2 linked regions of the Lytechinus pictus genome follow. The protein of the gene in region 2 interacts with the protein of the main gene of each other region in a pairwise test. Links are inferred from orthologs where the notes say so. Each region holds a gene or a part of one and is shown on either strand. Other genes may lie near its edges.

Evidence for each region.
Region 1: the proteins of arf-GAP with coiled-coil, ANK repeat and PH domain-containing protein 2-like (region 2) and ras-related protein Rab-35-like interact in a two-hybrid assay, tested with the Caenorhabditis elegans proteins (2 studies listed by BioGRID). The link is inferred for Lytechinus pictus from reciprocal best matches to the Caenorhabditis elegans genes cnt-1 and rab-35.

What each region holds. Positions count from the first base shown.
Region 1 is NC_087246.1:23,245,349-23,261,841, forward strand, and holds the start of ras-related protein Rab-35-like, read left to right. Parts: upstream 1-8,836; coding exon 8,837-8,885; intron 8,886-10,577; coding exon 10,578-10,628; intron 10,629-11,449; coding exon 11,450-11,573; intron 11,574-13,617; coding exon 13,618-13,742; intron 13,743-14,522; coding exon 14,523-14,647; intron 14,648-16,493.
Region 2 is NC_087258.1:14,593,995-14,610,966, forward strand, and holds the start of arf-GAP with coiled-coil, ANK repeat and PH domain-containing protein 2-like, read left to right. Parts: upstream 1-10,614; 5' UTR 10,615-11,949; coding exon 11,950-12,015; intron 12,016-13,187; coding exon 13,188-13,285; intron 13,286-14,335; coding exon 14,336-14,387; intron 14,388-15,204; coding exon 15,205-15,305; intron 15,306-16,076; coding exon 16,077-16,203; intron 16,204-16,972. UniProt on the Caenorhabditis elegans protein: GTPase-activating protein for the ADP ribosylation factor family. Regulates endosome recycling downstream of rab-10 and upstream of arf-6.

The sequences.
Region 1 (16,493 bases), on a different chromosome or scaffold from region 2:
GAAGCTGGTAGAACAAACTCTACTCTCTCAAATTGATAAAATACTCTAAAGCACAAACGCTTTTTTGCCTCAATGTTGGGTCCAAAATGGTGAATTTCCAAATACATTGGCAATAAGCAAAAGGGGGAGGGGTGACTTCCCCCAGCGCCCTCCCCCCCGAGAGGGGTTGGCTTCGATGTACGTGCCACTTCTTTTGATATAGCTGGTAGAACAAACATGACAAAGCTTACTCTTTTCCTCTCCAAGTGGTTTCAAAGTAATTAAAGTGGCTGTACTGTATAGCAGAAATGCCTTTTGCCTCAATGGGTGCTTCAAAAAATAGTGATTTTCCAATAGGCAATATACAACAACATGATATAGCCAAAGGGGGTGGGGGGGGGGGGCTTCGACACCCCCACCCCATGAGAGTGTTAGGCCTCGATGTGCCAACATTTTGTTTTATGTAGCTGATAGAGAAAAGCCTACTCTTAACTCTCCAAGTGGTTAAAAAGCGGAGATAATTGCCTTTAAATTTTATTAAACTATACATTATACATATTATACATGTACATGTTATACGTATTAGTCTATGGAAATGCATACAAAAAGCGACATTTCTGAAATTGAAGTATTCAAGTTTGATACCTTATAAATTTGCTAAAAAGAATGATACAGAGTTGGAATTTCATCCACATGATAATAGTATGTCAATAAAGTTTTCTGGAACATTTCAAGGTAATTCATTCATTTTTCTCAGAATTATGTAAAATCATGTATTTGCTAAATTTTCAATTTTTGGGAAAAAATGACAAAAAATGCAGTTTTCTACTTAAAATCTCAGCCAAATGACCTACTTATCCCCTATAAATAGTACCAAATTGTAGAAAATTTATTTGTCTTTCATATGACACTAATTTTGTGGCAATGGAATATTTATGTCAAAATCTACGTACGAAAATTCAAATGTTCTGAAAATTTGGCGGCCATTTTGAAAAAAGCGCCCTCACGGGTTAATTTTCAGGATACAGCCTGGTTACCTCATATATTCATATTCAGCGTAAATAACTGGTCTAGAAGCACTATATGAAAATTTCTCCTTTTTCTTGTGGCACCTTGCTCAATTATAACCCGGACTACATGGGGCACTACATGTATGCATACAATCACATCCAGGCGAAAAATCAAAAGGATTCTCAGTTAACTTCATACACTGTACTTCAGGCCTTCTCATGTATATGGCTACTTAACATGTACCAAACAAAGGAACTTTATGAAAATTCAAGTGACAGGGTAGATGGATTATTCCCCCCCCCCTTCCCAAGTGGAAAAACCACTTATGAAATGAAATTCACTCATCCGACTCCCACATGTACATGTATTTGTTAATTACTACTCCTTGCAAAGTGCTAATTGAAAGTACATGTACACAATGTACTGCAACTTCTAACCATGAATGTATGTCGCTTCAAAAAATAGACAATCAGTGCCAATGCTAACATACCTCTCATCTAGCAGTCAGTTTGGCCTAATTTGAAAGTGAGCAAAACTTCTCAAGCCAGGGGGTTCAAATTGCCCCCCCCCCCTCTCCCCTACATCAGGGCTCGACACTAGCGGCGGTCCGACGGTCCCAGACCGGTAAAAATCGCTGTCGGGCCAGTAGATTTTCAGAAATAGGAAGATTTACTGGTCCGACATGACCAGTAAAAAATATCATTTTCGGGCCACTAATTTTTCCAAAAATAGCAAGATTTAAGGGTCCGACATGACCACTAATAAAATCCACTGTTGGGCCAATAACTTTTCCAGAAATGGTCAAATTCACTGCAAACTATTTCCCCCCGTTAAATTCTGTCATTCACACACAGAATACACACACTAGAGTAGCATACAGTGTACATGTAGCCAGCCACACAACCCACGTGGTAAATTCTCTACTGGCTGCGCGAACGAAGCTTGGCTAAACTCTGGCAGAAATGTCTCACAGAACTGTAAAAATTCACGGTTTATACTCATGAAAGGCTCTTATAAGTCCATATTTTCTAAAAATTGGAGTAACTCTGTCATTTGTAAGCAGTAAAAGGAGAAATTTTCACTTCTGTTTTGGTTCAAACAGATCGGGTTTCGGGTGATATCTTCTGAATACATAATAGCCCCACATATGCATTTATGTGTGTGTTGATACACTTGGTTTCTGACTTTCTTTCGTAGCTATTTTAATTGAGCCAAAAAGAAACTGGTAAATTATTTGATGATAGTTTTAGCTTTCTTCCTCTGTTTTCTTCCTATCTTTCTTTCCTTCTTTCTTTTCCATCTTTCTTTGTTTCTTCCCTCTTTTCTTTCAATTTTTTTGTTACTGTCTTTCTTTTTTAATTTCCCTTTTTTCTTTAATTTGTTCTTTCTTTCCTTTTAAAAATATTTTTCTCTATTTCTTTTTTCTCTTTCTTTCTTTCTTCCTTTCTTTCTTTCTTTCTTCCTTTCTTCCTTCCTTCCTTTTTTTCTTTTTGATATTTTTCTTTCTTTAATTCTTGAGTCCATCCATCCTATATTCATCTCTTCTCTCGGGCTTTCTTTCCTTCTTTTTACCCTTTTCTTTCCTTCATTCTTTGTTACTTTCTTTGTTTCTTTCTTCCTTCCATCCATCATTTATTTACCCTTTCTTGTTGTTTTTTATTTCTTCCTTCTTCCAACCTTTTCTCTCTTTCTTACATTCATTCCTTCCTTTCTTATATATGTCTTGTTCTTTCCTTTTTCCCTTTGTTAAATCTATCCTTTTATCTTTCCTTTCTTTTTTTGACTGCTTGCTTCCTTTCTCTCCTTTATTCTTTCATTCCTTCCTTTCTTTGTCTCTCAGTCTTTCTTTTTTTCTTCCTTTCATCTATTCTTTTCTCTTTTTTTTTATATTGCTTGCTTCTTTCCTTCCCTTCCTTTATTTCTTTCCTTCTATCTATCATTTTACCTTTCCTTTATTTCTTCCTTAATTCCTTTCTTCCTTCTTTCAATCCTTCCTTCCTCTCATTCTTTCTTTTGTCCTTCTTTCCATCTCTCCTTTTACCCTTTCTTTTGTATTGCTTCTTCTTTCTTTCCTTTACTACTTACTGGATTTGTTCTTTCTTTCTGTATTGCTTGCTTCATTTCTTTCCTTCATTTCGTTTTTTCTTTTCTTTCTTTCTTTATTTTTGTTCCTTCTTTATTCCTTCCTTCCTTTCCTTTAGTTCTTTCTTTTTTTCCTTCCTTCACATCTATCCTTTCTTTACCTTTTCTTTTTTTCTTCCTTCCTTTCTTTTATTCTTTTCTTTCTTTCTTTCTTTCTTCGTTTCTGTCTTGCTTTCTTTTTGTCCTTCATTCCTTCATTTTATTGGGGGGGGGGGAACGAAAGGCTAGAAAAATAAACTTGCGCCTATATTTAATGTTTTCTTTATTTTTTGGGACCAGTAGATTTTAGGTTCGGACCAGTAAAAATTTGAAAAACTGGGTATCTACTGGTCCGACACGAATAGGTTGGACCAGTAGAAAAAATGGGTTAGTGTGGAGCCCTGCCTACATGTACGTGTACATGTACACGGGTTAATCCTGAATACAGCCAATTCACATTATGAATCTTTTAAAAAATTCATACATGTACAGTACATGTATGTCACAAAGCTAATAATTTTGCAATATTTACAAACATACACATAGTATGTATGTACATGTGAGTGTGATATATTGTAATAAAGAAAATGCTGTGCACATCATTTTCAGCTTTTTGGTAAATGCAGTTTAATATTAAGTGAACCCTTCTTCAAGTTTTTTCCACAAAGTATCTTGATAGACTGTCTAACTATAAGATAAACTGGAGTGAAATTGATTAAATTGAAGAGCAAGTGTAATATCTGAAACAAAATGTAGAACTACATGTATTCTTAAACATCCTGTTAAGGCCTGTCTAGCTACTACAGTTCACATGGACTTCCTTGACCTATACATGTAGGCCTTTACATGCAGTTTTGAACAAGGAAAGTTGAATTTTGCCATAAATTATGTAAAACGCATATGATAGGGGCTACATATTCCATAACAAACTATTTTCTCAAAAAATTTAAAACGATTTCACCAACTGTCCTTTTAATTCAATCAGTCAGATAATGTATGCTTGCATTATTTGTGTCACTCTTCTTCAGTAAGAGAAAAATATTTTCTTCATTGTTTTTCAATTTTGCCTGTTCATACTCCATCAGGATAGGGACCTGTGCTAGTTTTTCCACATTGGGGGCAATTACTGAATTTTGAGGGCTATTTAATTTTCAAGGGCCACTTTTTGTGCAGCAAGCAATGATGCATTTCCCATTCTGTTGTATATTGATTTTCTGAACTTTCTTGAATATTGTTTGGGTTAAACATGACCCTCATGTATTTCATACACTGTACTCCATTCATGAAATACAGTATAGATATATGGACTGCTTTGAGAGGCATGGTTGTTTCTAGAGGCTCAAGGGGGCCGCAGCGCGACTATGCCCGAGGGCATGGTCTGGCCGATGCGGTACCCGCGAGCCGAAATATAAAAGCAGTCCATATATATTTTATGAACCGAATTAACGCTAGATCTAGATCTTAAACAAGTTTTAGGCCTAAAAGCCCTAAGCCACAGGCTAACATTACATTAGGCCTAACGTTAGGCCCTAACTTAGCCCTGCCCCTGACGTTAGGTCTCGAAGTCGAATACTAAAGCATTCCATACCAATTAGATCTACTGAGTACTGCCACTAGGCCTATTTAGGAACCAAATTAGGGTCTGAACTAGGCTACCCCAAGTTAAGTTTACTGACTTAACGTTAAATCTCCATTAACGTTACAGTCTAAGTTAGATCTAACCGACGTCATGAACGTTAGATCTCGGCTACGTCAAATCCAAAGTAAGATTAAACGGAACATTAGGCCTAACGTTAATTAGATCTAACTTAGATCTTGAATCTACTCTTAACTCCTATAAAAGCTAACGGTAGATTTCACGACCTAACGTTGTCGTTTGTCATACCTAACGAGTAGTCTAACGTTAGACTCTAACGTTACTTATAAATCTAACTTTAATTAGAAAGTGCAGTGACCGTACGGTATTATCTTTTCATTCGACTCACCTTTTGCGAGCATGCATTTCAATGAAAAACTGCAACAAGACTTGATGATTGATACATCCGTTATGTCCTTAATAAGTTAGTCTTCTTTTAAATAATGCCATATATTTTAACAGGAATCAACAAGCAAAAGACAAAGATCGGCATCTTTCCATCGATGTGACATATCCGTTGCGCGCACTAGCGCTATAAGCGCGTAAATGCGCGAATTGTCTAAAACTTCCGATCAAATCGCGCGGATATTTATGGTATCCGCAATCACCGCAGAAAGCAACATTTTGCATGCAATCAAATGGGGATCTCGGCCAAATTTTGCCATGCCCGTCGTTAAGGGGTGGGTCAGGGGGCAACAAGCAGAAATCTTGTTAACTATGCCCGTTGCCCTTGGTTACCACCTTAATTTGTTGTTTTGAAGGCATGGTCGTTTACATGACCTCAGTTTTGACCAATCAGAGGAACGGATTATTCGACATTCTTAAAGAGAGGTTTATAATAGGCCATATGTCTACATCAAATTTACATCAGGATACAGTATCCACAATCCAGGTTGTGCCCTATCCACATTTTGATGCCATGGAGCTTCTTTTATGTATTGTGTAGTTGCCTGTGAGATAACATTTTAAAAGTGTTTTTTTTTTCTTCCCCTTTAATACATTCTTTCTTTTGTCTTTTTGAATTTCCGCATCCTCTGAAAGTGGCGCTCATGGCATCTTTCTGCCACCGCCCCCCCCGGCCAGTGTGAACACTATGTAATTGCAATATTATTAGAAGACAGTGACACCGTTCTCATTATACTTTCTAAAACTGGTTTACTGGAAACCGATTCAGGAAACCAGTTCAAAAGATTGCTTTGCGAGCGTTTCCATTTGGTCACCGGAAAGTGGTTTTCAAAACAACTTCACGTAAAGCGGTCTTGTCGCTATGGGTACACTCTTAGTGGGGTGACATGTTTTACACAAAATTTGAAACTGCAGCATAGGCATTCTACACACAGTGTGTGGAGTAGCGCACTCGAAATGTGCGAAGATCGCTTTCCTATAAAGAACGGTCGTGTCCTCACTTTAATACGATAAAACCAGTTTAATGAGGCAAAGTGATCTTCAAACCTACATCGCGAGGTGGTTTTCTTAACCAGTTTTGATGATCGCTTCCAAGACCGCTTTGACCATTCTCATTATGCATTAAATAGTTTCCACTAAAGTAGTTTCCAGTATTTTAGGACGGTAGTGAGAACGGTGTCAGTGTTGTATGGTGTGGGTCATGATCAATTTAGTGTCATAGGGAAATCACCAGTGACAGAATATCCTCATTCTCCCTCTGATGGCCATAAATAACTCAATGCTGCGCTTCACATTATACCCTTCTCTCTGGAGGCTTGCTAACTGCTTGCCAGACATTTAAAGGAAGTGTTTGAAGTTGGAGGAGTATTTACATACATGTACAGGATGTATTTAAACGTCCCATTCCCAGAAAAATCCACAGCTGACTGACAGTTTAGGCCTACATTTTGTTACTTGCATGGTACTGTTTAAGTCTTTCAAACCTAAGGCTAAAACCTTTAATATGGTGATGATGTTGATGATGAGGATGATGATAATGATGATAATGTGAATTTGATAATATTACAGGTGATGATAATGTGAATTTGATAATATTACAGGTGATGATAATTCTATTGATAAGAATAAAATCAACAAAGTAAAAAAAAACATGTCAGCCTAGATCTACATTCTTGCAGCATTTGAGAGCTTAATACACTGCATTGTAGAAATAGAGTTTTATATGTGTGCATAAACTATAAACCCTCTTTTTAGTTATTATTATTGTATTATTATTCACCAAATACAAATGTTAACAACATGTGACATTTGCATTTTTTGCCAGACATTTTTTAAGTCTGTGCCTTTTAATATTTTTACATCATGGTGCCATAATTACAGAGTTCAGAATTATTTCACTGGCCATAAAAGTATATAAGCAATTCATGACCCAATTTTTCCTTCTCATATCCCCTCCCCCCAAAACAAAAGTCATGCTGGATGGGCACTAAATGGAGCAGTAAAGTGCACATTTGTATTACTCATGTGCACAGCCCACTATGAAACCTGCTACATGTACTCTCTTAGATTTTTCTAACTATACGGTAATTGTCCGAACTGTTTGGTATTAGTTTTTACATATAAAACTGCATGGAAGAAACAAAAAGTGGACTCCCTACATTTTAAAGGGGGAGTGAACTGTGTGTGGTCTTTCATTGACTGTGTTTTACAAATACATAGTCTTAAAATATACGTTTTCAGATATCTACTAACACTACAGAGAATAAATTGACCTATAATTGTATTTGTATAGAGAAACTAAAATGTTTTGAGAGGAATAATAATCGTTTTGCTACTTTGTAACATAATTATTGCGGTATACTTGTAAATGTATTGAGTGGTTAATTAACATGTTATCATTCAAGTGGGTCTATATTACTTGACTACACTAGCATTATGGGTCAGGAAACTGGCCAGGTATGAGTAGTTGAGGACTCGAGATGGCGCTATTGCCTATTGGTTCATATCTGCTTTAAAGAATGGCAACATTACTATTATAGACCATGTATGAGTCTTTGGGCACATGTAGGACCTGTATCTACATGTAATAGTGACTTGGCAACTGCACAATATTCCATTGTATTGTATAATGTAAATAAATGCAATGAAGTTCCTACATAATTATACAGTACATGCCACACAAGCTTATGTGCTGCATGAAGATTTACTGTTATTTTCATGTAGGCTGACATGTATTTCCTTTAGCATGTACATGTATGTTAATTTCCCCTATATCTCCCTGTATTTTTTCATGTACATGTATAGGCCTATGTATTCCCATAAAGCCCCCCCCCCCCTTTCCCTCTGTCGGTTTATTTTCTTTGTTTTTCCTTCAATCTTTTAATGTCCCCTTTCTTGAATTTTATTTTTGTAATTTTTTTCATTTATTTTTTCATTTTTATTTTCAATTCAAATTTATTTAATTTATTTATTTATGTATTTATTTATTCATTTATTTATTTATTTGTCATTTATTATTTATTATTTTTTCTTGGGGGGGGGGGGGGGTAATTCCAACAGAACTGAAGTGGCTACCCTGAGTAAAATCATTATGATTATTAACAATTATAAAACTTATTTCGATGTACATGTACATGTAATTTCCTGTTGGTCCATCCTCTTTCACGAATTGGTTAATTTGTTTTTGTACATCTACATGTATCAAGTATTCTATTGGTTTGTACCAGTTGGTAATTCAAAACAGATTTTCCTATAAATTGAAACAAAGTTTGATCCCTCCTGATGATGCAAAATTGCCATTGTTGTACTTATTGCACAACATGATTGAATTGTTAAAGAGTTTCCTTGAATGTTGTCAAATCTGCAAATATTGAAATATTGTGTGATTCATACAATAAAATAAAAAGAAATACATGTACATGTACATGTAATGAGCATGCAATATCATGAAATCTCTCTATTGCAGATGTTTTTGCATACATGTACAAGCCTATACAGTGTAGATCTATTTTGTGTCAAGCATAAGTTTGAAATATCAATTATTTGTATTATTTTGGCCTTTTCAGGGCTATGCTGTTTAATTTTCTCTTCAATATGAGACAAGATTTCCATCTAATGTAACTTGTTGTTAGGGTGGACTTAAACTTAAAAAGGTGGCTTTAATTGAGTGTTTTCAAGCCCAACATGACACACCCCAATCTGAGTCTTATTAACGTTGCAACTGCTAATTCTTGTATGCCAAATTTGCTGCATTTGTCATTGATTTCAGAAAGAATGCCACCAGTTGATATTTGGCAGTTTATCAAGGCTACTTTGAAATATACAGCCAAGTACTTGTTAAATGTATAGCCAATCTGTTAAAAATTTGAGAAAATAATGAAATTAAAGGGGAAGTTCACCCAGAAGAAACGTTTGTTGTAAAAATAGCAGAAAAAATAATTAAAAATAGTGGTGGAGGTTTGAGGAAAATCCGTTAAAGATTAAGAAAGTTATTAAAATTCTTAATTTTGGATTTGTGACGTCATAAACGAGCACCTGCCCATATGTTATATGATATAAAATCATGAATAATTGTGATTTTCATTTTTTTAATGGTTCCTGATGACGTATTTTCGTTTTCTTTTCATGATCGGGTGTGAAGTGATTTGTCCATATATATGAAAGTAGTCCTACAGTAAAAACCATTCTCAATTTTTTGAGAAAATTACATTTCATTGATTCTTTTTACCATTTGCTACATGTAGATGTAGGAATGATGCTCGCATGTGATGTCACAAATCAAATAATTAAAATTCGTACAACTTTTTAATTCTTTGATGGATTTTTCTCAAAACTTCAGCAATATTTTAAAATGATTTTTCCTGCTTATTTTACAAAAAACTTTTTGTCAGGGTGAACTTCCCCTTTAACTTGCTGCACCTCCAAAGTTTGTGGAGGGGGTTCACAGGCATTGAAAACATGTTGAACCTGCAAGTTTTACCGTACATGTGCTGTAGCTGCTTTATAATTATTTGTAGTTAATAAACAGAAAATTATGATGCTGGAATCCTGGAACCCAAAGCGGGTTAGTGTATGCCTTTATACATTCAATCAATAAATGTAGTTCCCCTGCCTCAATGCTACATGTAACTGTATTCATATAGTTTCATGATTATTATTATTTTAGAAGGTACATGCAGTAAATTTATTAATGAACACAAATTATACATTATATATTCTGTGGAAATTTTCACTTTTAAACTACAGTACATCAACATTTACTAACATGAAGGCCTAGAAGCCTACATGTACACTATATGCTCAGTAGTGTAGCATATTGAGAGAGATACATGTAGATCTACATACATGTATTTATGTGTGTAAATGTAGCTACAGTGCAAAAGATTTATTGCCCTGTCCATAGATTACAGCTGCACTATACTTTTTGTTTCATATTGTTGCGATAACTCATGTACATGTAGATCAAAGAATTAAAAGGCACTACATATACCTACATGTATATGCCTGACATACATGTAAAGTCAGCTGCTGAGCAAAGAACCCAGTCCTGTGTGATTGATTCAGCCACAGATCCTTGTACTTGTATGTCATTGTTTAAATTTATAGGAAAAGTATTAACTGTGGAGTGAAGCAATTTAGGGTTGCTTTGTCAGATGACATTGCCATTGATGATACTATTGGTCAATAAAAGAGCTGTGCCTTTATCATGAAGCCCCAAAGTTGACACCTGACATGTTTTTTTTTCTAACTCGTTCCCACAACTTTAATACTCTGGCTTGATCCCTTGACTTACAATGTATATTAACTTATTACTTCTATTTAATGACTTGTTCCCTTGAATTATGATATTAACCCTTTCCCTCATGATTTTTTTTGTATGACTTCACTTAAAATTGCATTTTCTATCTGTGTTTTCTGATTGCAGGTGTAGGAAAAAGTAGTCTTCTTTTGAGATTTGCAGACAACACATTTTCAGGTAAGTTGGAAACCAGGTATATCACTTGTTGTAAGAAGTACTGCAAAAGTGTAAAATGCCATGGTTTTCTTTAGCGGGAGGGGGGGGGGGGTGGTCAGTATGGGACATTGCCCAAGTATATTTAATCTGATAAAGGTAAAAAACAAACCTCCATCTTTTAGGAAGATTAAACAAATTGTCAAAGAAGAAAAATGTACAAAAGATGTAGTTTGTATGTTCAGGTATCAATATCATCCCGTCTATAAACTTCTATACTTCTTTTGGAGTGCCTTTTAGAAAGTGATTATGATTGCATTGTTTATTGATATTTACCTACTTTCCTCTCATTTATGTGTAAAGAATTGTCAGAAAAAGTTTTTTTTTCTCATAGGCTACACACATTCTCTCTAAACATGTATCTTTCTGTTTTTTAGATCCTTTCTCCTCCCCCCCCCCCATTCTTACCAAAATTTGGCAGTATGATTTTATCTTTCTTCAATTTTTGCCTCTTGTTCTTATCTGTTAAATTTCTCTTTTGGAAATTGCATGTACATGTACATGTACACAGTACCAATGTGTTTTCTATTGTAAAAAATGATAAATTACCAATCTTGTAAAAAAATATGAATAAGGATATTATACGTTTTAGAGGTATGGTTACTGTTGTGATGGATGTGTTCTAGTAGCAATAAACTGATAGTTTGCATAAGTGTGTACCACTATCGAGTTTGCTTTTTTATGCATATCCAGTTTCCTTTCGTAGTTTCGATTATCCCCTCAACAGTCATTTAATTGATTCATTCATACAAATCTATGTACTTTTCCTCCTTTTGTTTTTCCAGGTTCCTATATTACAACTATTGGTGTAGATTTCAAAATCAGGACGATCGATGTCAAAGGTGAAAAGGTCAAGTTACAGATCTGGGACACGGCGGGACAAGAGCGATTCAGAACCATCACATCAACGTAAGGGGTGGCAAATTAGGACTGTACATGTACTGTGCATTTGTAGGCTTGGACCAGTATTCGGTTCAATACTTTTGCTACAATTTTAAGTATTTTACGTGAGCAGTATCCTGCTTTTAAAAGTTAAATTCCATTATTTCAATTGCCCTTTTTAGCCAAGTATTTAAATCTGTCAGCCCCATACCAGGCTTAAAGTTTGGCTAGCATGCAGTTTACAAAAGTACATACTCTGTACACATGGTCACCCGTGCTGCTTAGTCTGCTGTGCAAACCCTTCACTCGAGTTAAGGGTCTGAAATGTGCACCCTACTCATGCCTTGTGTACTGAAGGCCCTCTCGCTCAGGATTGAAACAGCAAGTATTGTATGTGCTAGTCTTTGCGTGGAGACACACTTGCTGATCAAAATTTCAATCAGGGTCTGTGCCTGTAGACAATGTGCTGCTCACAGGCGGATACATACACGTATGTAAATTTTGCATAATTAGCTGTGATATTTTGATGTTACAATGCTTAGTATGGCTTGATAGAGTAAATACGTTTGACCCTGCGATTGACCATTGAGCAGTCTTTCAAAAACCACCCTTTTTCTTGTAAATCAGTGTTTTTGATACCCTTAATTAGTGAAAGCGCAGCCCGCGTCCAAAACGGAAAAAAAAAACACCCCTTTAAACACGTTTTTTTGTCATGCATGTGTACAGCAATATATTTGACTGCCAACCCCCCCCCCCCCCGGGGGTAATTGATTGGATGAGAGCAAGTTGTGCACTCATATCAACTTTTGTGTAACAAGACCCCCGGTTCTTATGTCATTTGTATACGGTGTACATGTATGTATGAGTTATAAAGGACATCTTCTGACATGCGACATTAGGTCATGCGAATTGCTAGCATGAGTCAACATATCAATATTCAATGAAATGCACTCTTTGCTATTAAAACTTCATGTCATTTGGGACACTCGACTGCATGCATACATTGTACATGTAAATCCATGTACTGACAGCATTTTAAACTGTTTTATGGAGACAAGGCAAAGAGTAGAGCTCTGCCTCCTCCACTTCTATAAAGGAAATAAAAGTTAAAGAGAAAATTGTGATGATGTTTATGATAATGAGGAGTAAGACTTCAGAAAGTTGTTAATTCTGGAGCAGGTTTGGTATGGCTGTAGCATATGGCTGTACCTGTTTATTTGAATAGTGGCAGAGTAAGGGCAAGATATATGAGAGCGACGGCATGGGGGAAAGTCAGGGAATTATTTAGATAACTCCCATGGAAAGATGTGGAGAATGTTGAAAGTCAACATTTCAATCTCATATTCTCTCCATCTCAAAATACATGTACTCTGTAGAGGGTTGTGTTTGGATTGGGTGCATTATAATGCTCAACCTAAAAGTACACTCACATTTCTGGTATTTACTTTAAATTCATTATCATTATCAAGGTGGATGAATGACAAAATTAATTCCTTGTTCAACCAGAATCTGTTAAGTATATTAAATTCAAGGATACCACTTAAGACTAAAATCAGAATTCCTATTTTTTCCAATAAATAAACACCTTATTTCTGTTATTGTGTGTACAATAGGCCCAGCCCTGATAGTTTTCCCCACCTACAGTATTGTCGTCGATTGTGGCATCTGTGAACATTTCATTTGGTCTTGCTGTAAAAGATAGATTTTATAGTAATCACTGTTCAAGTTTTTTGCCTCCAATACATAACTTGAAACTCATCCTTAACCTTTGAATCAAATATAAACCAATCATGATACATGTACAGTAGATCTTCCTACAATATATACCCTTGTGCTTGTCACAATACTAAAAGACCAAATAGTATACTTTTAGAGCAAAGCAATGCGTATGTATCTATTTGCCTGAAAATACAAAATATCCAATTTATTGTATTACTAGCATGTACAATGTACCTGAGTTTTAATGGTTTATTTTAATGATATATTTTCATAGATTTTGTATTTTGTTTGGAATGAACTACACTGGCTTTATATAAAATGATGTTCATATTGATGATGTGACTGCTTGCAGGTATTACAGAGGGACACATGGAGTGATAGTAGTCTATGATGTATGTAGTGCAGAATCATTTGTCAACGTGAAGAGATGGCTCTATGAAATAGATCAGAATTGTGAAGACGTCAGTAGGATATTAGGTAAGTATGACTCTTAGAGGGGCTTCACACCTTGGCCGAACCACAACTATGGAAAGCCAGCAACGCCAACATCTAAAAGACATGATTGTTCAAAATATTTTCTCTATATGCTGTATATTCTTGTCTGATATGGGTAAATAATATATGATACATTGGATTGCCATACATTATTTGCTTTAATACTCTGGCTATTAAAATTATCTAGGTATGACAGCCCCTTCGGAGATAAGTGATACTATGATTACCACTGGTGAAGTGTAGGACAAATTATCTCTTTTGATAGCAATGAATCATTCTAAAGCGAGGTTGAACTTCAATCATATTTAGTTCTTCCTTTCTGTTTGACAGTTGCCTACATAAAACATTCCTTTTATTTTTCTGTTTCTATTGAAACTGTTGTAATAGGACAGACTTCCCATTCTATAGGTACCTGGGAATGAATGGTCTAACTATAAAAAGCACTTGATAACCATTCATTGTATTAAGTTCCGAATCACCGCTGTTATAGTTAGGCTTACTTTTGACTTGAGTGCCATCTATCCAAGCCAAACCAAAAAGTATCAAGGACAAGATTTGAAATAAAAATGTTTGATTTAGCTGGCAATAATAATGCAACAACAACAATAATTATGATAATAATAATAAGTAATAATAATGATTATCATCATCCTCATTGTTGTCATCATCATCATCATCATGTTATTTCTAATGGGCTTGACGTATGCATTGTACATAGTACACTGACAGTTATTCTTTGCATTATTTGTCTGTCTCCCTCAGTTGGCAATAAGAATGATGCACCAGACAGGAAAGTTGTTGAGACGGAAGACGCCCAGAAGTTTGCAGAACAGATGAATATTCAACTCTATGAAACTAGTGCAAAGGAAAACATTAATGTAGAAGAGGTATACTATATCAGAAAAGGCTTCAAACTGTCACCTGTTATCTATACATTAATAAGCTATAATAGTCTCTATTAATATTTGTATATAATCATTCATATAAAACCCTGCATGCAAATTCAATTGTATATTCATATAGGCGTAATATATACATGTAGTTGCCTTGTTTGATTTGTTAGGTGTAAAGTAATTGTTAATAACAAAATACAGCATCAGTTTTTTATTTTATTTTGCGAAACCCAGTGAGGGGGAGGGAGCAGGGTCGGTGAAGTTTATGGAAATAGGACAATTCTCAAATCTAATATATATGTATTTTTTAAAATATGGTAATTCAATCTCATTAGTTTTTTTTTAAGCTAGGGATTAGGAGAGAATTAAGTTTTTAGTTATTTTACTGTAGTATATGGACTTTTAAAAATTTTAGTTACTATTATGCTTTTCACACTGCATTTCCTTAACCCCATACTTTCCTTAATCCCGGACTATCCTCAACCCCATACTATCTTTTTTTTGGTTTCACACTGTCTTTTTAAACCCTATACTATTTGCTTAATAGCCGGGGTTAACGCCTTAACCCCCGACTATCGTACAGCTCATGAATATTTATGATTTTTGCCTTACAGAGTGTGATTAACGTGCAATTTTGACTTTTGTGATTGGCTAATGCTTAGCCCCACTTTTCCTTAGCCCGGTTTCATTTCACACTGCATCTCTAAGCTCCGCAATAAAGCCGGCTAACCTTGCTTTTTTGCAGGGCCAGATATTACTGTACTATTTACCATGCTAGCCCACTTTGCTATAAAAACGTACTGTGAAACTGAAGAGGGCTAAGCTTAACCCTTGGAAATTAGTGAGGCTAAGACCCCCCTTTTTTCCTAGGGTTAAGGAAAATATGTGCAGTGTGAAAAGCATATATTTTTAAAGAAAAGTTCTAAGGATGAAGAAAAAATATCTACATCATTCAAAACAACTTAAAGGAGAATGAAACCCTTGAAACCAGCTGAATCAATATCAAAGAGAAAAATCAAAGAAACATATTGTTGAAAGTTTGAGGAAGATTGAATGAATAATAAGAAAGTTATGAGCATTTGAATATTGAGATCACTAATGCCATGTAGATCCTCCCATTGGCAATGCGACCAAGATCTGTGATGTCACACACGTACAACTCCCTCATTGCTTTAGTACCGGTACTTATTTCACTTATATTCTCACTTTTATAGAATCTATCACAAGGTGAGGTGTTCTCTTTATGAGAGGGCAAGTACAGAGGTTTCACAACATTATATCATTGATGAATCGTTTGTCATATGATTAGAAAGAGCAAAAAGAGATGTTTTGGGGTATATTTTCAGTGTCCAAAAGGGGAGAGTTGTTCATCTGTGATATCATAGATCTTGGTTGCGTTGCCAATGGGAGGATCTCCATAGCATTAGTGATCTCGACATTCAAATGCTCATAACTCTTCTATTGCTAGTCCTATTTTACTCAAACTTTTGTTGATCTTATTCTTTGATTTTTCTGCTTTCACTAAAGCTAACTTGCTCCAAGAGTTTCATTCTCCTTTAAGTAGGTTATATTTAGGTTGGAGCGAGTAGAAAGTATTGTATGTAGCATTTTTTGGGACTGGACGAATATTATTGTTTGTCAAAATAAGGTAAATAGTATAAAGTGGAGAAAAACACAATACCATCATCTTTCAAGAAATTTGGGCAAAATAAGAGGTAATAAATTCATTTTATCTTGAAGACATAATCTAATGCATATTTGGTTGAAATTGGTAGGTTCTATTTCTTAGCCAAAAATAGCCAAACATTCTTTGAAGCATCAAAGGAATTTGATGTCTTAG
Region 2 (16,972 bases):
TAAATATTGAGATCACTAGTGCCATGTAGATCCTCCCATCGGCAATGCGACCAAGATCTGTGATATCACACACGTACAACTCCCTCATTACTTTAGTACTTATTTCACGTATATTCTCATTTTTATAGAGTCTATCACAAGGTGAGGTGTTCTCTTTATGAGATGACAAGTACAGAGGTTTCACAACATTATATCATTGATGAATCGTTTGTCATATGATTAGAATGAGCAAAAAGATATGTTTTGGGGAATATTTTCAGTGTCCAAATGGGAGAGTTGTACGTGTGTGACATCACAGATCTTGGTCGCATTGCCGATGGGAGGATCTCCATAGCATTAGTGATCTCGACATTCAAATGCTCATAACTCTTTTATTGCTAGTCCTATTTACTCAAAGTTTTGTTGATCTTATTCTTTGATTTTTCTGCTTTCACAAAAGCTAACTTGCTCCAAGAGTTTCATTCTCCTTTAAGGAATTACTTCCTGCCGCGGTGTGGCCTAGTGGATTAGTCTCCGGACTTTGAAACAGAGGGTCGTGGGTTCAAATCCCAGCCATGGCATAGTTTCCTTCAGCAAAAAATTAATCCACATTGTGCTGCACTCAACCCAGGTGAGGTGAATGGGTACCTGGCAGGAATTTATTCCTTGAAATGCCGAGCACGTAAAAGCTGCTTGAGCTACAGCCAGGGTAATAATATCCAAGGCCTTTGGAAGCGCATAGAGACGTTATTCATAATGTGTTATGCGCTATACAAGAACTGACTATTATTATTACCCATTTACCTCACCTGGGTCGAGTGCAGCACGCTGTGGATGAATTCCTTGCTGAAGGAAATTGGGAAAGATTGTAAAGGGGTGGGGTTGTAGTTTACCCCGTTTCCACTTGCAAGGCTGCAAGGTTCATCAGACTTTCAATGTATAAGGGGGGGGGTAGATGATGTACAGCAGAACGGGTAAAATTTTGTGATTGTGAACAAAGAATAATAGTAATAATAATAGCTGGATTTATAAAGTGCTTTTTGCCTGAGGATACAAAGCGCTGCTATTATTACCCCGGCTTTAGCTTGAGCTACCATCACCGACGCTCAGTGCATGCAAGGAATTACTCCTGCCGGGTACCCATTCACCTCACCTGGGTCGATTGCAGCACAGTGTGGATAAATTTCTTGCTGAAGGAAAACATGCCATGGCTGGGATTTGAACCCACGACCCTATGTTTCAAAGGCGAGAGTCGGAACCACTAGACCACGACGCACCCACATGTTTGTATCATCACACCAATCAAATCAATATTTTCAGGAACCAATCCAGGGGTCAGTTTCATAAAGAGTTACAACTGTTGTAACTTTGCCTTTATGGCAACAGGGCTTAGCGGCCAATCAACATCAAGGTTACCATGGTAGTTGCCAGCCATAGTGGCAAAGTTACAACAGTTGTAACTCTTAATGAAACGGGCCCCTGGAGTTGAGTTGACTAGGATGTGCTGTGGTGTGAATACTATATCCTGTGCTAATAGGCAAAGTTTTCTTAGGATTGTTGGTAAAACAAGGAACGAGACAATGATCCCCTCCCATAGGCTAGTACTGCACAAATATTTGATATTGAAATTTGAAGGGGAGGGGGATGGAGTGTCCCCCATTCCCTCGTGGCACAACAAATGGTTGTGCCAACCTGTTACTATCAGGTTTCTAGGACAGCTCTTTCCTATGTCATGGTCTGGTGGTTATGACACCCGTCTTTCAATCTGAGGGACGTGGGTTCGATCCCAGCCATGGCGTGGTTTCCTTCAGCAAGAAATTTACCCACATTATGCTGTGCACACTCAATCCAATTAAGGTGAATGGGGATCTAGTAAAAAGCAGTCAAAGCACTACACCCATGATGATAATGCTGCATTTCTGTAGAGCGCCTAGAGACTCCTGATAAAGTATTAAGTGTAAGCACTATATCATAGCAAGAATGATGTTTTTATCTCAACCTATTTTCAAATATCACAGGTCAGAAAAAAAAAATTACACGCAGTCCGGAGCATGGGAGATTTCACCATAAAAATGCTCAAAGGAACCCTGGAAATCCCCATTCACTTCAGTGTTCAATCTTATCAAGTGTTGCAGATTTGTGCATTAGATTGTGGAACGCCCCCCCCCCCCCCCCAGAAAACGATATTTTTTAAAACCTCTTTTTTTTTGCCTGTCACAGATGATTAATCACCTTTCACCAGATCATGTTCCAAATAATGCACTAAAATAAATAAAAAACCTACCACATTACATCTAAATGTATACATGTTCACTTTATACACCCAGAACTTCATTATTAATGAGTCATGCCGTTATGTCCAATAATACATGTTGTCTGATGAGGTCATGGATAAACTTTCATTTTCTGCTATCTCCGTGTACATTGTAGAATGACAATGTTACTCCCACAGGCAGAGTGTGAGTCATGGTTTATAGCTTGGACATTGAGACAATGCCAGCTGATTTCCTTCTTATGAATGACACTTACAAGAGAAATCGACCCACAATCTGTGGTATAGTGAATTTATCCTTTTATGGAAATACTGTATCTGTAGTTTCTTCTTCCTAAACTTTATACTTTTTATTGGTTTGTTTTTGTAGTTTAATAAACTGTAATGATGTAGCATAATTTATCCATTTCAGAGTAATCTCACTCTGATCGTTACAATACACCGGATTATTCCTGAATCTTGGTGAATAGTTGATTTGCATGCGTCAGTCAATAATTGAACAAATCATGTTCAAAATTGGTGTCGAAGAGAACTGTGCTACAAGATTAAAGAATCTGTTTACCTTTGTGAGTATTTTTGTTATTTACATATCACCTTACAAACCAGCTACCTCTCCACAAGAAATTTTGGAATCATTTTTTTTTGCTGGTACAATTTAAGAGTCGCATGAAACAATAGATCCATCATGATTTAAATTTGAGATTCTTTGTCATAATAATGTCGGTATTTTGTTACAAAAAAGTTCTATAGATAGACAATCGTAAAACAATTACAAGGGTAGCTTAAAACTGAGTAGTAGGATATATGTACTGTACATGTAGGATAACAAGTAAATTTACATCAAGGTCATGTTATGTCTTTTATCCGCACATCCTGCCCATTTGATTTATACAGTCATAGATATAGCTATTCACACTTTATCAGAGCGATTGAGAATCTGCAGGAAAATATCAATTTTTATTTAAAGTAATTTACTATTAAAGGCCAGTTTATAAATAGGGTTTAAAAAGTTCTGAAAAGTCGGTCACTAAATGTACCATTACAAATAATATCTCCTATTGTACATGTATATCATAATTGTGGTGAGCAATAATTGTAAAAATTGAATAGATTTCAAAGGGGAAGGACTGTTTTAAAGCCTATAGGGGGGGTATTTCATTGGTCAATACATGAAGCCACACCCACTCCAATGACGGCCCATTAGCTGGAAGTGTCATTCTTAGACAATATCATCCTCCATTAGAAGTTTCCTCTTTTCTCCGCTGTTCGTCTTACGAAATACATGGTTTGTAAGCAAATAACAGGAACTGATATGACATGCCTACTAATCAGTCTTAATTGATTGACGAGATAGCGTGGGAATGCATTGACTGCAGCAAGTGTTGACCGGCACCCACATGCAGTTTACGAGAGCAACAATGCTCGATGATGTGCCAAAACTATTCAACAGTAAAATAAAACTCATTTTGAACTGTCTCTGGATTGAGCCAAGATATGTGTACATGTATACACGTTTCGGACTCTAAATTGCATTGTATGATCAATAGTTTTGACAAGGTTCATACAAGTATCTCTAGCATTTTGACAGTTCTTTGTCTGTGAGGTTATTCTTTCTTCCTGATGATCATTGCGGACCTATAGTTGGGTTCTGGAAAATAAACTTTGGATATTAAAGAAACTGTCAGTAAAAAAACCTCTGTTGCGATGGCGATATGGTATTGTTCAAATTTGCAGGTTCGTGTGCAGTTATTTTACATTGCATGGCATGATCACAAGCTCTCTATTACTGTACTTGAATGATATGACATACTGATACTGTACAGTGTACAGAGTGTTTATAGGCCTAGATGTGTTTGAATTTCCATTACAAAATGCAGGATTGAAATACAATTTGATTTAATTTTTGTTTTTACTTAATTTCATATTTAATAATGTACACAGCATTTCTGTCTGTATGTGTACGTGATGTAACTTTTTCTTTTCTTTGATTTGATGTATAAAATCTCTGCAACCCATTCTTTATATTACACATTTTCACTCATGATGATGGGGGGGGGGTGGTGGTGGTGGTGGGGGTGATGATGATGGTGGTGGGGGTGGTGGTGGTAATGATGATGATGATGATGACGATGATGTAAATGATGATGATGATGATTATGATGATGGTGATGATTATGATGATGACCATGATCATCGTGATTTTGGTGGAAATGATAATGTTGCAGAACATCCAGTAGACCAATATTAAGAATTTCAGAGAAATGATTCATAGTTTATTAATTGAAATGTAGACTTACACGTTTTAATCTAAAGCAATGTGCAGAAAATGTTTTCCTTACAGAAGGTTCCATTTAATTCAAACCCATGTGCTGGGGGACTTTTCTCTTCTTTGACTCCATTCTAATATACTTTCTTGAATGGGTTTCCTGTATCCACTTCCCAAAACCAGTGTGGAAGATCGCTTTGCTATTGATCTCATCACAGTCTCGTTAATTTTTTCAAAACCACTTCACATAAAGCGATCTTGTTGCTATGGGAATGCCCCTAGTATGCGTGAAATCTAAAAAAGGCAACGTACGTATTCTGCACACTGTGTGTACTGAGTAGCGCAGCTGAGCATGACATACTCTTTTATTATTTCCGGGCGAGGATCACTTCCCAAAGAACAGTTGTGTCCTCATCTACGCTTAAACCAGTTTAATGAGGCAAAGCGGTCTTGAAAACCACATTGCGAGGTGGATTTCTAAACTGGTTTAGAAGACCACTTAAGACTGCTTCTAAGACCTTTTTGAGCATTCCCATTACACATTAGTCTGATTTAAGAAAGCATATGAGAATGGGGTCTGACATACATGTACATGAAAATGAAACTTGTCTTTAAGTTTAAAATATCTTTTGTGTTGAACATGCTGCTAATCTCGCTTATCAATGTGGAGATTTTCCATATCCTTAGCTGCAAGTTCCTGTGATAAAATCTGTTTTACAGTATATTTGGAATTGCAAGATAGTTGAACTCTTCTCAATTTCAAGTTTCATGTTGCTCTGTCATCTTGTCCTGATCAGGGTGTATTTGTAATGCTTTCATGAAGCATTTGCTTAGCTGATCTTCGACTTGACAACTGCAAAGGGCCCCCGATGGGATATTAAAAGATCGCTCAAAGAAAATTTCCTGAGCTCGATGAGATTTGTCCTCAAGGAAAAATCTTGGGAACTTTTATTGAAAGCAAAGCCACCGTAGTTGTTGACAAGCAGTGTGTGGATCGAAATTTCATTATGCAGTAAAATTCGTGTGAGCTTTACGATTGCAGAGATGACTTAAACATTTTACCTGGAGTCCAAGATCAAGGCGAGGATGTTCTCTAAGACTTGATAGTGATTCTGTTTGAGATGTCGGTAATGCTAATAACTGTAAAGAGAATGCCAAGGAGACATGGGTTCTCACACTTCACTGTATTTCTTTTTATTTGATTATGTAATTGTTTTGGTAGTGTTGATTGATACTCCTGGAGCTTTCCAATTAATCACCTAGGAATAGTTTGAGACCTCGAATGAAGGGAACCAAGACTGGAATATCTGTGGATGATTATTACGTCAGTGCTGCCACCAAGTTCATGTGCTTCGATTGCCGATTGGGGGCTGTATCCCCTGTCTCTCATTTTGAGATTGTTGTTTAATTAGAAAACAATCATGCCTTCGGTGTTGATAATCTTGCGGTATTTTCCAGTGGACAGTCCTGGAATAAATGAATTCAGCACTGTCTTTAGAGTAACTTAACTTGTAGGAGGTTTAGAAGGAAAAAATGCATGTTCTGGAGGGATAATCTTGATACTTTCAATTGGACAATCTAGGAATAAAAGGATTCAGCACTGTGCTTTGAATGACTTTATAAAGAGATTTGGAGAATAATTGTGCATTTCCTGTATATTTGGCTTCAAATGGCATCAATTATAGTAACAGGCACTGTCTTTCCAATGTCTTTACTCAGTGTGAAGTGTAAATAGTTCGATGATAAGTTTGCTAATATGCAAGAAAATTGCATGAATGACACTTTCTGATGAATTGGTATTGTACATCTAGTAAAGCTCACAGAATAGCACCTGGGTCATTTTGTTTTTGTTTTGATCAGGTATTTAAACCATTCATGCCTTTTGAATGTCATTGGTTTCTCCTCAATCAGTTTTAGTTTCATAGATCCTCAAGTTTTGAGAGTCCTCAGTACATGTAGGTAGTTCATCAAGGAGAAGCTTCAGATTATCACTTTTACTTTATATGAAAACTAGGTTAGGAAATCCATTTTCATTTTTAGGGGTTACCATATTTTTTGTCACATTGGGATGATAACTGGGGAGCGTTTCATCCGACAAGTTGTCAGATCTGACATCTTTCCCTGATTTTGATTGGCTGAGAGGCACTGTTCCCATGGTAACTGTCAGATAAAATTGGATTTGTCAGATATTAAAAGTCCGACAAGTCCTTTCATGAAACGCCCCCCAGAATTTTTTGGGGCTATTTCTTTTACTTCAAGGACAATCTTTTTGCTCAAATTTTATGCTGTAAAATCATACCTCATTTTTCTTCCATATGTACATGTACATGTAGAATATTAATTTTCTGAATGTTCTTGAATAATGTTTGTTTGCAAATCTTGGGGCAAATTTAGAAAAGATAGCCACCCAAAAGCATTCCATTTTGCAAAGTTTAGGGGCAATTTCAGTTGTCATGAGTGCAAAATCGCCTGTTGCCATCAAATATCTTAGTTTGCAAATGAAAACCATTCAAATACATAGTTTATTGGAGATATGTAATCATATGGCATTCAAATTGTCTTAGGAAAAACAAATGAGAAAGAAAAAATCAGTGCAGTCTTGATTTCTACACATGTATTACAAATCAACATCTGTTGAAGTGATATGTGGATAACAAATTCCTTGTAAGATATATTCAATTTTTGGTCAAAATGCATTCTGCAAGGTGTTTGCTTGTTTTTTTCAAGTGAAAAGTGTTATAAGTCTAATATCCTACATTTTCCAAACTCTCTTTTGGTGATCTGCAAGACATGCATTTAAAATGTGTGCGAAGTCCAAACCTGCATTAGATATTGCAAGATACAAATCCCATAATACTTCCTTATTTTTCAAGTGTGGTTGGTGAAGATGACCATGAATACACCATGAATACACATGTAGGCCTACATATGCATGTAGGACAATGGATATTAATCACCTTGAATTGGTTTTCAAACACCTGCTTCAAGTGGGTAGTACCTTGATGAATTTATCTTCATTCTTAATAGCCAACTTGAACTGTATTGCTTCACTGACGCCCCAGTAGGAAAGACATCAAGTTTTTCATCTGACAAGTTGTCAGATCTGACCTACAAGATCTATCCTACAACAAGTATGGCTTTAAAATTGTATTTAGAAAAGAAAAATGAGAACTAGTTTTCAAACACCTGCTTCAACTGGGTAGTACCTTGATGAATTTATCTTCATTCTTTAGCCAACTTGAACTGTATTCCTTCTGATCACTGACACCCCAGTAGGAAAGACATCAAGTGTCTGATTCAAGCTTCTAGGAAATGGGCCTTACGCTCTTAAAAGCAAGGAAATCACAATCATTTGTACGACTCGTTTTGGGGCTTTGATCCAGATCTAATTTATCAAGACAATTGCAGTCACTCCGCGTGCCTGTCTATCGAGATTCCTTCGATCTCCTTGTGTTTGAATCTGTGTGAAGGACGATTCATGAGAAATAAACTGGAAGATTGTCAGGCGTGCTCTTGTGCCGAAATGTTCCGTTATCTTGGACTCGCCATGACTCCACAGGTAAGAATAAACATGGAGAGATTCGTAAAAAAAAAAATTCTGATGCCATGGGGATGGGGGTACTGCCATTCTTTAGTGGACACCAGCGTGGTTTCCATTTTGTGACAGTGATGCCCCCTCGACCCTCTCCCAGTTGATGACATCGTGTAAAAGCTATAATATTAATAATATAGGTTTATTTACCCAGGGAAGCCACTTCAGTTCTGAAAACTGTTCTCCCAGCGGGCCCTGCTATTATACATAATTGGCATAATTATAGTTGCGTTGTTAATTTTGTTTTAGATTGGTTTCGAAGAAAAAGAGAAAGATCACAGAAATGTGGTCTGGGGAAAAAATCTCATGAAAGGATTTGGTTTGTACTGTACATGGCATTACAAGTGGCACCACAAAATTTGTAAAATAACTAGAAAATTATCAGTCGATTTCCTGATGCTGATCAGTAGCACGTATGACCTCACCCACTTTGATTTATATTGCCAATAATGTCAGCCATTAATAGATCGTGAGGTTTTTATTAACATGAATTATTTTGAATTTATAATACATGTAAATATTTGACTTTTATCACAGGAAAGACTTCAACATGAGGAGCTCAAATGTCCCTCTATCAGCAGAAATCTGATTTTTTTCCCCTGTTGAACATGGAAAGCCAAATTCACCACACACTCGTTACAATCACCCTTACCCCATAGGCCCATACCAATGTATACCTTCTCTTTATGTATTTTTAGATATTTATACATGCATGTTACAACTTCCCACAATTGGTAGAAAAATATCATTGCGATGTAACAGATGCATTTAAATAGATAAGTACAATTTGGGAATTAGAATGGTTGTACTTTTTATCTGGTACCCAATGTAAAGTTTAGACTCTTGATGTACAATTGAGCGATTTAATAATAAAAATAAACCTGTTAAGAACTGTTATCAACTGCTTTAAACTTTATATTACAGATGATGAGTCAAACATGAATTGTCCTTTGCGATTCTCCTGTAAAGTGTACTAAAAAGATCAGTACTGTGCTATGTTTTGTGTATATTGATTAATTTCTTATATCAAACTTTGTACAGATTTGTAAAAAAATAAAAATAAACAAACTAAACATTTAAAACATGATGTTGATTACTATTTTGAAGGATGTGAGTCAGAAAGTTTTGTTCACCAATCTGTCAAATCATGGAGTGAAGTGCGACAGAAATTGAAGCAACTGTTCACCCATTGCCCAGGGATGTATCAAATACTCTCAATTCTCCTCATGCATGCATTCACCCTTGTACAGACTGCAGGCACGGACCCTGATTGAAACATTGATCAACAAGTAGGTCTTCAAAAAAAGATTAAACATGTATAAAACTTTATGGTGTTTCAATTGAGAGAAGGCCTTCAGTCCACAAGACATTATAGGCCTAGACCACTTAGGCCCAGACCACTTTGAGTGTTGAACAGAAGACTATGTACATTCTGTATCAGGGTTAAAGATTTGTACATGTACTGTATGTAGGACAAGGAACATTTATGACATCTGGGGCCCGTTGCAGAAAGAGTTGCAATCAATCGCAACTCTAAAAATCATGCTCAACTTGATTTTCAACCAATCAACAGGGCACATTTGTGACTTGCGATTGATATTTTGATTTGCGTTTAAACACAACTCTTCCTGCAACGAACCCCTGGTGGGTGTTTCATAAAGCTGTTCGTAAGATACAAATGACTTTACGCACGACTGGTGATCCTTTCTTGTGCTATAGCCCTATGTAATTGATTTATGACCTGAGAATATGTTCCAGTCGTGCGTAACTTTACGAACAGTTTTATGAAACACTCAATAGTCGTATGCCGAAAGCCCCACTTCAGTACAATGATTTATATAGTTTAAAAACATTGTAGATTGATCACCTTTAGGTTCTTATGATTTTAAGGAATCTATGATGGTAAATTGCCGATTCGTCTGTTTCTAACTCATCCAATCATCAAATGGTATACCTTCATTTTATAATCTGATACTATTTCGTCTAACAATCATTTGGTCCAATCATCATTTCATCTAATCACCAGTTTGTCTATGACCATTTTGTCTCATAACCAGTTTGTCTAATACCCATTTCGTTTTCATTAATTTCGCTCAATGAACATACATAGTCCAATTAGACCAAATGGTATATGTATATGGACTTAAAATGGCTATTGGACCAACTGGTTATTAGACGAAATGGTGAGTGGCCGAAATTGCAATAAGATAGTGAATAACCATGGATACCAGTAGAGTGAGTAGACCAAATGATAGTAGACGAGTTGGTATGGACGAATTGGCATTAGACCATTGAAAATAAGCCTTTACGATTACATGTATGCTTCACATGTGGTTTTAAATTTGAAAGTTGCAAGTGATGCATCAATCCTTAATAAAAATGTAATATGGAAAACTCCCTTAGATAATCAATAGATTATTGAATCATCCATATTTTGGGAATTGACTAATTTCAGATTAAAACTCTACTTAACACAGTTTATTTACACCAACTCCTTTTATTGTCATTCGGCAATTGCACTAAAGTCAGTTTTTGTTTCATAAGGATTAAGAAAGTTGTTGTGTGCTCACTTGATTTATTACCATACTTCTCATTATGGTTATATGTGAGATTGGCTTTCTGGAATTCCCACTTATCCTCTTTCAATTTTTTGTCTTTGATATCCTTGAATTCCTATGATATAGATTGCATTTTTAATAACAATTTCATGGTTAGAAACATGGTTTTGAAACCTGGTATAGCATTTGCACAATATTTGTAATATAAACAGGACTTTTTAAAAATATAAACATTATTTTTAAAAAGGTTTCGTAATGCATGTGTATGACTCAAAATGCTTTTCCTGTAGAAACCCCTCTCTTGAAATCCTATAAATTCAATGTATCCGAAGCCGGGGTGAAATGATGTCATGGTAAAAAATGAAAGCGTTTTTTGAAAGGAAAGTTGCATATAAAATGTACATGTAGTACATTTAAGACACATGGTAAGGAGAACTCTCTAAAGAAATGCTGCTCTTTTAAAGTTCTCTTTCAAAATATTTACTGGTATTCAAGACCCTGTTCCTCAGAACTATATTGCTATACAGGTGAAGTATATGATAAATTGATGATTGATGATGATGATGATGATGATCAGTGTTATAACTACTGTACAGTTGACGGAAGTGGTCGGGCACAACCGGCACAGAAGATTTCTGGCCGCCTCTCATCATGAAAAAACACTGCTTCTGTCCACCAGTAATTTCAAATGAAAAGTGTTTCAAAACCAACTCCTTACAAGGAGAATTGCTCTTGCATTCATTTCCATCTTAGTTTAATCTTGTTTTATTTACATAATGTACGTTAAATATTCTTACATTTGATATATATTTGTTTATCTTCAAAGATTTGCTTTATACATGTACAGTATGTCAGATTTTTATTACATTGATTTACCTTTACTTTTGGCTTTAAGACCGCTAACTCAGCCTGAAAAATCGTGGTAATGCTGTGAAATAGCGACCACTACTACAATGGGTCTAGCTAGAACATGTGATGATAATGATGATACTACATGTACATACATTCTAAATACTTTACAAATAAATTATTACCCCAGTCGTTGGATTCTGAGTTGCCCACTCACACAGCTGTATGGATGTTCTTCACTCTCTGGGGGAGAATTTCAACAAAGGCTTCCAAGCACAAATGCTAAACAGGGTGCATCAATTGGCTATGAATATGCTCTGCGAATGCAACAGTATGTACACATGAGAATTTCATTTTGCGATATTCTCTCACAACTCTTTGATATCTGTATTCATCCTAGTTCTGTAATTATGTGTCTTTTCAGCTTCAAGGAATGACCACCAAGGCAAGTACTGAGAAGAGAAAAATGGAAGATAGACATTCACTGGTCCAAGAAATGGTAAGATATATCAAAACAGATTTCTATAGATTTACTTGTAACATGTCATTCTCAGAGAAAATGCAGCCGTGTTGCATTTTGTAATGTCACACAGAAAAATTACTCGGGGGCTGGGGGCGATATAGCCCTTGAAATGCTTAAAAGAGCCTTGGAAATCCACTTTCATCGCAATGCTATTAAAAGCTTCTCCAATGTTGCAGATTTAGGAAGTAAGTTGTGAGAAGTACCCCCCCAAAAAAAAAAAAAATAATAATAATAATAATAATAATAAATGATAAAAATAAATAAAATAAAATAAAATAAAAATGAAAAAATAATAAGATTTACCTTTATCATAGGAGTGTGAGAGTTGAGTTTTTTTAGAGTTCGGCTTTTTAATGCTGACTTCAGTTTTTTTATTTCTTGATTTGCAGCTTCTTTAGGGTGAATTTCCTCTGTATTAAGCAGGGGTGGGAGAGTCCAGATTTTTAGCTGATTTCAGATTTTTTTGTTTTGATTTTCAGCTTAATTTCAGCTTATTTTGGGCTTTCCTCTACAAAAATTATGGGAGCTCTTTCTGTTTCAGACTTTTTCAACACCCTTCAGCTTTTTTCAGATCTTTTTGTTTGTGACCACTCACACCCCTGATTAAATTAAAGGATATTTTGCAATTTCAGATATTTTATAAATCTCTTTACTGTTGGTCATTCATAGCTCTGAAAATGTTGGCGGATTGAGGCCATTGGCATGTTATAAGAATTGATATTAAAAACTTTTGAGTAAAGTCTTGAAAAAGAAATAACGGGGAAGCCATTCTTACAATATCTTGTTTGTGATTTCACCTACAAAGCTGCCGTTAGCCAATCAGATAAAGGATTTCAGTTGCTACATGTATATAAACTTGAATAACAGCTGTCAGTGATATCATTTGTATTTTAGTCCAACAAAATTTTCTTAGATTACTGTGGAAAGGTTGGACGAGTTTGATTGATATTTACAAATTCATTTCCATTTCGTTCGTATTGTAATTTATATAAATCATTTTATTTTAAAAAAAATTTGTGTATAAGATATCCAGAATGAAATTTGTTTTTGATATATGGTTAACGTGCAATGTCATATTCATAATTCTTCCTCGTTTATAGATTCATATTTATGATTTCTTGATATTTATACCTTGATTGCTGATACAGGATACCTTGTGGAACATGACCTTTGACCAGAGCAAGACACCTATTATGGAAGGTTACCTGTACAAACGGGCAACGAATGCATTCAAAACATGGCACAGGTATGTTCACATCCAAATATGCTTTCTACACTCACACACCAACGAAACTGACCCTAGACCGATCGATGTTATGTCATTGGTATTATTATTGCAGCTTCTGTCAGTCTGGACTCGGGTTTTTGCTGTTCTGATTGTAGCATACCACTGGCATAGATTCAAGTAGGAAACTATAGGGTTGTTGAGGGGGTGGGTGGGGGATGGGGATCCATTGTGTTTTATACCCCCTATTAAACTGCAATAGCAGGAGGTCATTTATCTCCATCCATGAAATCTAAACTGGGCCCCGTAACACAAAGCTTAGCAATGATCGTAGAACATTTTTCTACAATTGATTCCATCGGCTACAATGTACAATCAATCATCAAAATCAAGTGTACGATTAATCGCTAACCTCTGTGTTACGGGACCCAGGTCTATAGTAGCCAGCAAAGGGTTTTGACAAGCAGTTTGTTCTTTTGCACTTGACTACATGTATGTGAACGTCTGGATTTTGGAGTGTCAATTATCGATCTCAATTTTCCTTTATTGTCTTGTGTTTTCTTTAAATACTACAGTATTTCAATTAAATTCATATAGATTGGGGAAAAGATATCTCTTACCCACCAAAATGAGTACTAACAATATTATTTATAGTGAACACCTGCCTTTAACAACTCATACTCAAAAGTTGCAGAAACAATTAGGCTTTAATTCTAGCCATTTGCAAAGTCCAGCTGAACTTTAAGTGAAGGGATTATGACTCCCTCCCCCTCTGTGTTTCAAGTCAACACAGTTTTATTTTGAGAGGGAGACAATAGAGGATTTTTTTAAAAGAAAAGTTTCACTTAATAATATGTTTAATCCTTTTTAGAAGATTCAGTAGTTCGTCAAATAAACTCTGAATATGCCTTCATGGACATGCATCTTATCGGTTTACTGAACATCATTCTTTAAAAAAGAAAATATCTGTTTATTAGTATTCGTCATATTTTAATTCTACTTTTTCATGTAAAGATACCTTTTATTTGATTCATATTAAGTTGATCCCTTTTTTTAATGTTTAATTTTCAGACGATGGTTTACGATAAAGGACAACCAACTGATATATCAGAAAAGATCTAAGGTAAGAATATCATAATTGAAAGGTGGGGGTAGGGGGAGGGATAGTCTGGTTTCAGGGAAGTGAAAAAGTGAAAAAGTCAGTTGACATTTGCATGTAATAATGTTTTAAAAGTACCTACATGTAATGATTAAATGTGATTAATGAACATTGATTTGAATCAATCTCAATTTGAAGTGATTGATCATTAATGAGTTACAATTAGTACGAAATATATGTTGAGTTGATATGCACAACTTTATTCTTAGATAAGGACTACGCTGGGGGCCGTTTCATAAAGCTGTTCGTAAGTTAGGAGTGACTATGAGAACGGCTGGTGATCCTTTCATGCGGTAAATGATATTCACCATTGAATGTTCTTTTGTGATTATTTAGCATGTAAGAAAGGTTCACCAGTCGTTCTTAAAGTCGCCCTTAACTTATGAACAGCATTATGAAACACCCCTCTGAACGGTTTGTATGCAGAAATACATTTTATAATTTGGTTACAATTTTAGTGGCAACCTAACTTTGTGAAATTTATAAAATCTAAGCTGAAAAACAATTGAACTGAAGATCACCAATACAGGTAATCACACGGACAGTTAACCTATCATTTTTTCTTGGGAAAATGTAGTACATTTGGCTGAAATGCCATATTTTTTTTTTCATATCTCAGCTCATTTAACAATTTCTACTAGAATTATTTGGCACATATTTCCTTTCATGCATACATACACTTAATGGTCATTTTATTCAATTTGTTGGGACTCATTTTTAGTTTGTCTGACAATCTGCACTCACTTTTATGTTTATCTTCATGAATATTTTATTTTGGCAGGGTCAAGTGAGCATAGCTTCCGATGATCTTAGACTGTGCAATGTAAAACCATTAGATGAGATAGATAGACGATTCTGCTTTGAAGTGGTTTCACCTGGCAAGTAAGTTACCATCTTTATTTTTATAATTTCAACAATTCTTAGAGCCATCATTTCCTTCTTTTAATGAAACATTTGTCCTTTTCAGGGTAACCACCGGAATAAGTACACAGTATGTAAAATATGTTTTATTGTAAACACCTCCCATACTCTGCACAACCAATATAAATGTATGACCTGAATTATTTCTTTTAAATATATAAAAGTGGAAACGTTGATAAGTTGAAATTCTTGGCTAATCGGAGCCCCTGTTGCAAGTATAAATGTAAACCACATTGCTATAGATATCACAGCAGTCTTTATGATCAGGACTCTGTTGCATAAAAGTTTCTGTTATGGTAACTTTGCCATCCAATGGTAACTACCATGGTAATGCTGATCAACAGCCAATCAGAATCAAGGATTCCATGCAAGTTAACATTGCATGGCAAAGTTGCCACAATGGTAACTTTTGTGCAACGGGGCCCGGGTATGAAATGCAACTTCTGTGGCTTTTACTCCATCTTAAATCCTAGCTCAAATTTTTGTATTCGTATATTTGGTGTACTCTGAACATCAAATGAGATATTTTTTTCTATTTGAATTTGACTTTATAATAAGTTCAAACAACTTGACCTTAAAGATATTACTTTCCAAAATTTACAAAACGGCAAATAAAAAAAAAAATTGATTGCACACGATACTAACGCACACAGTGAGCTGCAGGAGAAAGGGGATTATGTCGCTTTACTATGAATTATCAGGTAATTTTCTCCTTTGCTTGTCTTGCTTCAGAACCATAGTGCTTCAAGCCGATAATGACAACATCCGTCACGCCTGGATTCAGGCATTACAAGCCGGTATTAACTCGGCTTTCAACAGTCCTATCGCTAAGACTCCACCTGCTGCCTTGGAGAGAGAGGTGGGTATTGTGGAGCATTTCATGAAACATGTAATCAGTGATTTGCTCTGGCAAGTGTTATAAGCTACTGAAATGCCTGCATCTGATTGGCTGAGAGCAAATTTTTCAAACATAATTATTGACAAAATACTTAATGAACACTCCCAAGATTTTGCATGCAAATCTGTAGATTAGAATGAGATGAATAAATGGTAATAAATAAAAGAATAAATTTATAATATTGAAAACATAAAATAATTGATGGCATAAAAAAAAAACATGAATAAGAATCTGAGAGCCAGTGGAATTTGAACATGCTTGTCAGGCAGTAACTTTACCACCAAGTTACTAATGATTAATGGCTCAGTTCTGATAGACAATCTATGTATAGATGTTATTTATTTATTGTAATAAAATTCAATTAGCAGCTGAATGCTCAATTGCAATAGTTTCAATATTAGAGTACAAGCAAAAGACAGAAGAAAAAAATATATATATTTTACCGGAAAAAGGACAAGGAAATGGTACACAATAGAAGTAGGGATGTCAGAAAAAGGAAAAGGTGAAAAGAGAAAATGGAAATTTAAAAAAAAAGTAATGATAACCTCATAGCATTTTAGCATTTTAGGTGGCTAATATTGATTGGGGAATACAAATATCTAATTCCGATTCAACCTGACCTGTTCGACTTGTTGGTACATGTATGTATCTGCGTTGCATGATGTTTTGTGCTGTTTCTTGGACTTTACATCTATGTGGCCTGTAATTGTTTGTTTTCTCTGAAACTCTG